Linked DNA regions of Kluyveromyces lactis. The protein of the gene in region 2 purifies or fractionates together with the protein of the main gene of each other region. This does not show direct contact. Links are inferred from orthologs where the notes say so. Each region holds a gene or a part of one and is shown on either strand. Other genes may lie near its edges.

Region 1 (4,367 bases), on a different chromosome or scaffold from region 2:
TATATATTTTTGATCCTGAAAAAATTAGACGCTTGTCCCTGAAAGACAAATAAAAAAATACTAAACTACTCAAAGAAATATTTACGATAAGAGGGTCTACAAGGACTTTGCTCATTCGGTTTCCAGAGCCACCGTATCCATCAAAACTTTACCATTGAAAATAATGTCCGAAAATTGTCAAGAGCTTTGTCTTAGAATTGATCCCGCTTCATGTGGATTTACTAAAGATGATCATGTTATTATCACCGGGGATTTCGATAATTGGAATCCTGGTCAGTACACCTTGAATTATGATTCAAGCACAGGCTACTTTATTGCCCATTTGCCGTACGATGGCTATAGTGAAACGTTCGTCTGTAAGTTCGTTGTCAACAACGAACATTGGAAAGCTTTGAGCTGTTTCGATAAATATATAGATGATATGGGTCACGAAAACAATTTAATCCATTGCAAGGCTTGGTTGGAGACTGAAGAAATGGTTGCTGATATTGTAATGGAAGATGTGGAATTGGATTTAAAACCTTTTAGATCTTCTATGTCACCTTCAGATCTTCAGATCGATCAGTTAGCAATCACTAGGCCAAGTAGCGAACAAGATTACATACACGTAACTTCAAGAGGTGAATTAAGCTCATCTGAGGACGTGGAATTAGATCCGAGAGTAACACAAGGTACAATTGATGATATTTTGGTAGATGATATTGACGAACAACAATCTCAACAAACTCTACTACAGGCAAGCTACTCTGATCAAAATGCCAAATATCCATCTTCATATAATCCGATACACGGACTCGTCGCAACTTTAAGACGTGCAACCACTTACTGGAAACGTTGATGGTTAATTTTATGCTATTTCTTCTTTACCTATTCTCCTTCTAATTGATTTTTCTTCCTTTCACGCTAATATACACTGCTTTTTGCTCAACTTCTTCTATCCAGTAAAAATCTTCTGAACACATATTCATCAAACTACAATAATTACTATTTAAACCTCGTGCTATTTCTCTTCTTTAATTTATTTAGCCTCTAACTTCTTTTTTTTCTCAGGATGTAATACAGTCTGTCGGTTTAAATCGATTACGACGATTGCTTCAAAACACACTCTCTTCCCATGCTTTGGTAGCCTCAAATGAAAGCATACAAAAGTCATCTCATTTGAATGAAAATTGCTCTTAGATAAAGTTCATGGATGTCTTCGTAAAACAGGTCATTTAACTTTAGATAGAGAAATTGATATAGGTCTGTGATTTAACAATGTAACACTGTTGTTTCACTTCTTAACACAGCTGCCGTTATTAGGCCAAAATATAATACTTACATTTTACATGGATTCGAGTAAAAAAACGCGTCGCGTAAATCTAAAAAACTATATGTATGAAAGTAAAAAAAAAGAGGCGACGAACAACAAATCAAGGAAAAAAACAGCTCTCACTCATAGTACATTAACAACAACAGTCACTTACTAGAACCATTCAGCCTCGTTCCACTGTCTACCTATGCCAGTGAGAAGGTCAACCAGGATAAGGACCAAATCCTCTTATAGTGAACAATCTGGATCAGAATCGGACTCTGAGCACGAAACTATAGGATCCATTGTCACCGACGATCGAATAAATATCGAAAACACGGATAATCAGAAAGAAGAAGAAGCTTTATCACAAGGTTCTAGTAGTTCAGAAGAAGACGATGACGCCAATGATGACGACTATGTTGCCCCTGGCTCCAGAAAAAGACCAAATTCCGGAGGTAGGCGCGTTGCAAGCAACAAGAGAACGAAATTAAAACAAAACGAGAAAGGCCGACCATCTAATAATATATCCAGTGCTGTTTCAAGAAAAGAACAGGAAGCATACATATCATTGCAGAATGAATTCAAACCCACAGAGCTTTTTGAAATTCTAAGCAGCTCCGACGATTTTTCTTGCGAAGAACTTGCCAGTGACTGGTTGGATTCCTATATAGATAACCGAAATGTCAGCTTAGCGAATCTCATAAATTTCTTATTAGATTGTTCTGGATGTTTCACTCATATTGGTGAACACGATGTAGCTAATAATGACTCTTCGAATGAAACAATAGGGGAAATACAAATTATGTTCCATGAGCAAAAAAAACATGAGTTCCATTTATTACTATCGGCAACACACAAGAAGGCAAAGTTCCGTCCTTTGAATGATAATTTTAACATTTTCATGACCACATTAATGGACCTAGCCATTGAGAAAGAGATGATATATGTTGAGAATGAAAAAGAAGAAAGTGACGAGATTGTGATCGAAACAAATCCATTAATTATTGACTTACTTACATGGATACCTTCCATGTCAGTATCAAAAATACGATGTTTGCGATATGTTTCAGCTAAAGCCATCTTCTGTTTCCAAGATTCTCTCGCACGAGCTTCTGCCAGCTTAGAAGCAGAGGTGTTATTTAAACTGAGGAAACAGTTGACACTGGAGAGAAAAAAGAAAAAGCCCAAGTCCAAAACTATGGAGACGCTAGAATCTTCTATTTCTGATGCTGAAGCTACGAAAACTGTGATAGAAAACACTATTGATAACATAATAAAGCTCTGTTTTGTTCATCGTTTCAAAGATGTAGATGAAAATATCAGATCCCTTGCGATATCCTACTTGTTAGATTGGATTGAAAACAATCCAGACTACTTTTTTAAGGTAACCTTCCTCAAATACTTCGGTTGGTTGCTATCTGATAGCAGTAATTCAGTCCGGTTACAAGTTATAAGGTCCCTTCATGACCTAATTAAGTTCTCCAATAAGAGAAACAAAAATACTGTCGATAACGCTGCCCTAAGACAATTTTTCGAAAGATTCAAAGATCGAATGTTAGAAATAGCTGGCAGAGACATCGATATTCAAGTAAGATTAACCTCAGTTCAAGTACTTTCGTCGATTAATGGGTTGGGTTATCTGGATGACCATGAAATAATAGACATCATTAGCTTGATCTTTTTTGATCATGAAGTAAAAGTATCTTCTTCGTCAAGGGACGTTAAATTCTTGAACGAGGTTACCAAATTCTTGGCAAACATTGTTTCTGAAAAAACGGAAGAGTTTCTAATAAACAATGAAAGGTTTAAGGTTCCGGTAATTTCGGTAACGGAAGAGCAGTTTGTTAAGGTGGGTGTGTTAATGAGATTATTACACAATTCATTGTTAAATCATATCAACTCCACTAGTAATTTAGAAGGTTATGCAAAAGTACCACCGGACAAAATCAAACTCTTACAGCAAGCGGCGGAATTTTTATCCCCCAAGTTTTACAACTTAATTGAAACTATATCAAAACTACTCTATGAAGAGGGAAATTTCGATGGCAGCACAATTCATGCTGATGCAGATGATTTTTCCAATGATCTGGGTGATATCAAATTGTTCCTACCAGAAACTGATAACAATGTCCTATTTTATGCCACTGTGTTGGGCGGCTTATGCACAGGCGGCATACAGTACAACAAAGGCCAGGACAGACAAGCCGTGACACAGTTAATTCTTCCAGAGTTAGAAGATCTTTTCAAGAAAATGAATCTTGATTCTGATCAGATATATACTCAACTACTAAATGTAATACAGCTATTAAACACAGAAGAATGGAATTCCAGTGAATCAAAGGATGTCATTTTTAATATCAATAAAACAATAACAAAACGATTTGAAAGCTCTCCAGTGGTTTTGAGCAACGCAAATGCCATTACTAAAACCTATAAGAGTTTAATTCCATATTTGGCATCCCTTCAAATACCAGAGGTAACTGGTTATTGGAAGTCATGTCTGATTAACGTGACATTATCATTCAAGAAGTTTATGGAATCATTTGACATAAAATCTGATAATTCAATAACAACATTATATCTGCAATATGTTAACAAACTTGTAATTTTGGGTAAGGAGTTCGCAATTGAAATTTCAGAAACGCTTTTGGATGACATTGTTGAAAAATTCTTGAAGCCGTTGAGTGAATTACTACCAAAGATTGATTCGGATGCCATATCTGTCCTAGATTTTAAGCTTTTCACCTCAATAGTTACTTGGAATTTAGCAACTTGGAGAGATGTTATCAAAAATAATGAAGAACCTATAGCTGTTTCACATACTACGCTGAATCAAATTAGAACGGTATTAGTCGAATTGCTGAATCTTTCTTCAAAGATCGATTCTAACCCTGAAATACAACACGACAAGAAATTCCATGTGCTTCATGTAATACTCTCTCCATTGTTAGATATTATCATTGCATTCAAAATGTTTGAGCTCGATTTGTCAGAAAAGGATTCCGATTGGATAAGGGCGTTAAGGCAAGAATATTCAGTTATCTCTAACGAAGATCTAACTGGTATTTGCCAC
Region 2 (4,625 bases):
CAGTAGCGGTAGCTCTATGTTAGAGACTTTACAATTCTTCAGTATACCTAATTGTTCAAGGTCGAGTGTTTCAATATCTTCTTTGATTTCATCCACTTTTCGTCTTGCGGCTTGCATGCTCGATTGAATTTCTGCAATATTACTATCAAATGAAATTAGATTGTGCACTTTTTCATCTAGCTCCTTTTGTTGAATGGCTACCAGTTGTTGTTCTTGTGAAATTTTTGAGTCTGCATTCTTGATCTTTTCCGTTATTATGTCCTCTTGTTTCTCTAATGAACCCAGAGCCTCTTTCAATTTATCCATGTCAGATAAGGCTTTTGTATGACGTGCCGCAGTAGCTCCCAAACGGTCCTTTTCGAATTCCAATTTGTTCTCAATGGTGAGAATCTGTTTCTGGAACTGTTGAAGCTCCTTGGAGTGCTTTCTCATAATTTCGCCAGTACCTTGTTCATAGTCTTTAATTGAGAAGCCATATTTATCGGTGAAAGGTCTAAAAATCTGTTCTTGTAAAACATCTTTCTCACTTTCCAACTTAGTTAATTTGCTCTTCAATTCTTCGATACGTTGAGTGAAGGATTTAAGCTGAGGTTCGTATTCTGTAGTAATCAAATCCTCGTTATGCTTGATTTCGACATTTTTTCCACTTAAAGTTCTTTCAAGTTGGGTGATCTGAGTTCTCAAACTCGAAATCTCATTATTTAACAAAGATATTTCATTCTCCAGCTCTCTGGATTTCATGTTATCAGCTCTGAATTTGTCTGATAGCGCTGTCAATTCTTCGGTAATTTGATCTTTCAATACCATCAGTCCTTGGTATTCATCTTTATTCCATCTATTCTGGTTTTTCTGTGCCGTACCACCAGTCATTTGTCCAGCTTTATGTATTAAAGCACCATTCAATGTCACTAGTTTGGCCTTGACATTTCTTGACCACTTTAATTCTTTAGCTAGGTCTAGGTTATCACAAATAATAGAATCTGAGCACACATATTGCATTGCCTTCTCAAGGTAGCCTTCGTATTCGATAGCATTAATAGTCAAAAGGCAGCCTTGTACGTTCGACACCGGCAATGATGGTGGATTGACGTCGATTGTATCAAGAGGTATGAAAGACGCTGAACCGGCTCTTTGCTTTTTAAGGTACGTGATACATTCGTGTGCGGTAGCAATACTGTCGACTATAATGGAATCAAAGTTTTTACCAAGTATCGTTGATACTGCAATCGCATACTTCTCTTTTTTCGGATGACATAGATCGTGTACTAATCCTTTCACACCGGGATATAATCTCTTAAGCATAGAAACATTCTCTCTTAGTTTTCTTTCCTTCTTGGTCTCTCTTTGATCAGCGTTAAGATCGTCAATTTTCAGAAGTACGTCTCTCAAGCTAAAATTCAGTTCATATTCCTTATTCTTTAGGGACTCAAGATTAGTTTGAATACCTTTCCATTCTTTAGACTTAGCAGCTGCTATCGAGTTTTTATCATTCAACCTTTGTGTTACCTCGTTGAGATCTGCTTCTAAAGCATCGACATCGACCTGTAATTCGTCACTTATGCGTTCCCTGGTTGTTTTCAGTCTTTTGTTAATAAGTTCACTCTCTTCGTTTAGTTCAAACTCGTCGTTTTTTAAGATAGCCAACTTTTCCTCGATATGAGAGCCTCCAGAACTTAAATACTTCTCTTTCAATAGCTCATATTGTTTTAAATCTTCTTCAGATAAATTGAATTTATTGAGATTGGCATGAATATTTTCTAACTCTTTCTCAAACGACTTTTTTGTTTTAGAAACTACCTTCAGTTGATTTTCGAATTGTTTGACATAAGCTTGTTGCCTTTCCATATCTTTCTTGAATGAGGATATTCTTTTTTCCAAGTTATGTATTCTCTTGATGGTAGCTAACCTCTCGCTTCCAACAGGTAGTAAAGATGACTGTAACGATGTTTTTTCATTTTCTAACTGTACGAGCGTATCTTTCAACTTACTCAATTGCAGTTCATGTTTAGCCGTTGTGGATTTGATTTTGGTCAGTATTCTTTCTTCGTCTGAAAGCTTGTTCTTCAACGCAGTCGTTTCAGTTTTTGAAACTGTTAGAGAATCTACCAGTTTCTTCCTTCTTTTAAGGATATGGAATAGTTCCCATAAAATAAAGTTATGTTTCAACTGATCTCTAATTTCTAAACTCGTTCTATATTGCTCATCCCGTTGGACACCTTCTTTAAAACTTTTCAAATCGTTTTGCACTTTTTTCCTTGAATTATGAGCGTCTGTGAATTCAGCTAAAGCCAGCTTATGCTCTTCTTTCAATTTCTCATAATCATTCTTATAGTTTATAGATCCAGAAACCTGCTCCAATAATAGCGTCAATGATTCTGGTCCCTGAGAAGCGATTCTTTCGACATCACCTTGGAAAACCAAAAAGTTTTTCGCCTTGACCAAGATGTTTTCGGATTCTAATTCCTCGTTATATTTTTTATAGCTCACAGCTCTATCGTTGATTTTGTAAACGCTATCACCAGATGTATTGATGGTTCTTGTGAATTTTGTTGGTTCATCAAGATCATCTTTTTGATACACGCAACTGACATATGCACTTCTTGGTTCTTCCTCCGAATATGTGGCATTCTCTGGACCAGCTTCCGAATCAGCGTCGGATCGGTGCATTCTCTTAGCATTGCCGTTATCTGGATCGCCATTTTCAATTCTGCCCCTGTATATCAAATCTACAAGCGCCGATGACCTTAACTGATTACTTCTCACACCTAACACAAAGGAAATGGCATCCATCAGATTCGATTTACCAGAACCATTGGGCCCAATGATGCTGGTGAAGTAAGACTCACCAAAACCAACTTGCACCGTATCCTTATACGACTTGAAATTATGCAGCTCTAACCCGATAAGTCTACCCATCTTGGAACACGAATATCTCTACAAATCAGCGAAATAAAACAAAAAATGATCACAAGTTTATTAGGATAACTTGTACTGCAACTTCAATTATAAGCGGCTTGTTGCAGCTGATGTAGATGGTAAGCTGACCGAATAAGCTACCCATCCTTCAACTAACACGAAAAATCTTAATGTAAATAGATATAAACGCCTTTCTTATTTTCATTTTCTAAATATTGCATTGACGCGTTCGAACATATCCGGGTAACTTGGTGTTTCATTATGTAACTTAATTGGGAAGTTTCCGTTATAATCCGTCCATCCATAAAGAGGACGGAGGTGCTAGTTGCACCAAGGATGTACAGAAGACAAGATCGGTATGAAGCTGACACCCTGATATACAGTTCACACGTTCTGTGGTTTTTGAAATTCAATTCGTATTATATCGGTTTTTTTTTCTGGGGTTTTGCTTTAATTAACTGCATATGATGATATACTTATATGTATATTTATATGAGGATGTCTGAGATGGATGGAAAAGTCAGTATTTGGTTCTTTACACGCCTGTTTTCATCTGAACAGGCTCCAGTTGTGGGATGCTAGCGTAGGCATTGGACGTGTCTCTGTTGTTCATCAATCTGAAGAAGTACAGGTTGAATTTGTTAATATAGAAGATGGAGACCACGCTTAACAATATGTAAGTCATTTTCAAAATGGCTTTTGGTACATAACCCCAGTTTATGGTACGATACTGGATCACGATGTTGACTCCTAGTAGGAAAATGACACCGCAGCTCAACACAAGTACAAAAGCACTTACAATCAGACCTACTGATAGTTCTTGTGTTCTTAAGGCTTCCACGGTTAAATTTTCTTCAGACTGAGACCCAACTTGTTTGTTCCTCTGGCTAATTCTCGATGAGGATGATGACGCCGATGATGATCCTTCTTGCTGCAATGACATTTCAGTGTGTTGGAGGGGTATTTTGGGAGTGCTTAAGTGGGTAAAGATTCAGTCCAATCCAAGACGCTATGCTTGAGTAGGCACTGGAATGTTGCAAGAATAGGTGGACAAAATCGAAAGAGGTACTTATATTGTGTAAATTTGACATTTTTTTCAATGTGCAACTTACTTTTTTCCTCATCGCAAAACACACCCGATTAATTCCTTGGCATAATTTTCCACACCTAGGGATGACCCTATCTTGATAAGAAGACATAGATAGGTAAATGTTGAGAACTGTATATGTCTGGTATAGTAGTCGACTGTATCCACCAGTACTGGGGTGGCTGAAAAGTTTGTAACACGTAGAAATAGTATTGAAACTCCTATATATGTCTTAGGGATAGGTGATGCCGTAGATAAATTAATCATACAACTTTTTTATGTCTGCTGGCATTGAAGAGAAGAGAAGAGAACAAAGATACAGAGGATTGGTATTACAGAGTTTATTTGATGGTAGAATATTTCCATACGGCGAGATACCAGATGTGGTAATGCAAGTTAAATTGATAGTTAATGTTAAAGAGTGGAAGACCAAAGTGACGTTCGATATATTTGATGGTCGACTCTTGTTCTAGTCCGGGTTCTGATAGTCTTGTCACCATTCCGAGCAGCAAAATCCAAGATTTCTACGTAACTGTGTCCCACTGACTCGATCGCAGCGACTAATTTTCTGTTATTTAATTTGATACCCCACACTTGTTCCGAATCTGTGAGTAGCTTCCTG

What was found.
Region 1: the proteins of SMC1 (region 2) and IRR1 purify together in Saccharomyces cerevisiae (affinity purification with mass spectrometry; 6 studies listed by BioGRID, with this or other methods). This does not show direct contact. The link is inferred for Kluyveromyces lactis from reciprocal best matches to the Saccharomyces cerevisiae genes SMC1 and IRR1.

The regions. Positions count from the first base shown.
Region 1 is NC_006042.1:2,572,853-2,577,219, reverse strand, and holds the start of IRR1 (cohesin subunit IRR1), read left to right. Parts: upstream 1-1,499; coding exon 1,500-4,367. Other genes in the region: ATG45 (Atg45p), read left to right, coding at 164-838. UniProt on the Saccharomyces cerevisiae protein: Component of cohesin complex, a complex required for the cohesion of sister chromatids after DNA replication. The cohesin complex apparently forms a large proteinaceous ring within which sister chromatids can be trapped.
Region 2 is NC_006040.1:643,567-648,191, forward strand, and holds the start of SMC1 (cohesin subunit SMC1), read right to left. Parts: upstream 2,917-4,625; coding exon 1-2,916. Other genes in the region: KLLA0_D07524g (uncharacterized protein), read right to left, coding at 3,452-3,859; SCF ubiquitin ligase complex subunit CDC4, read right to left, coding at 4,418-4,625. UniProt on the Saccharomyces cerevisiae protein: Involved in chromosome cohesion during cell cycle and in DNA repair. Central component of cohesin complex. The cohesin complex is required for the cohesion of sister chromatids after DNA replication.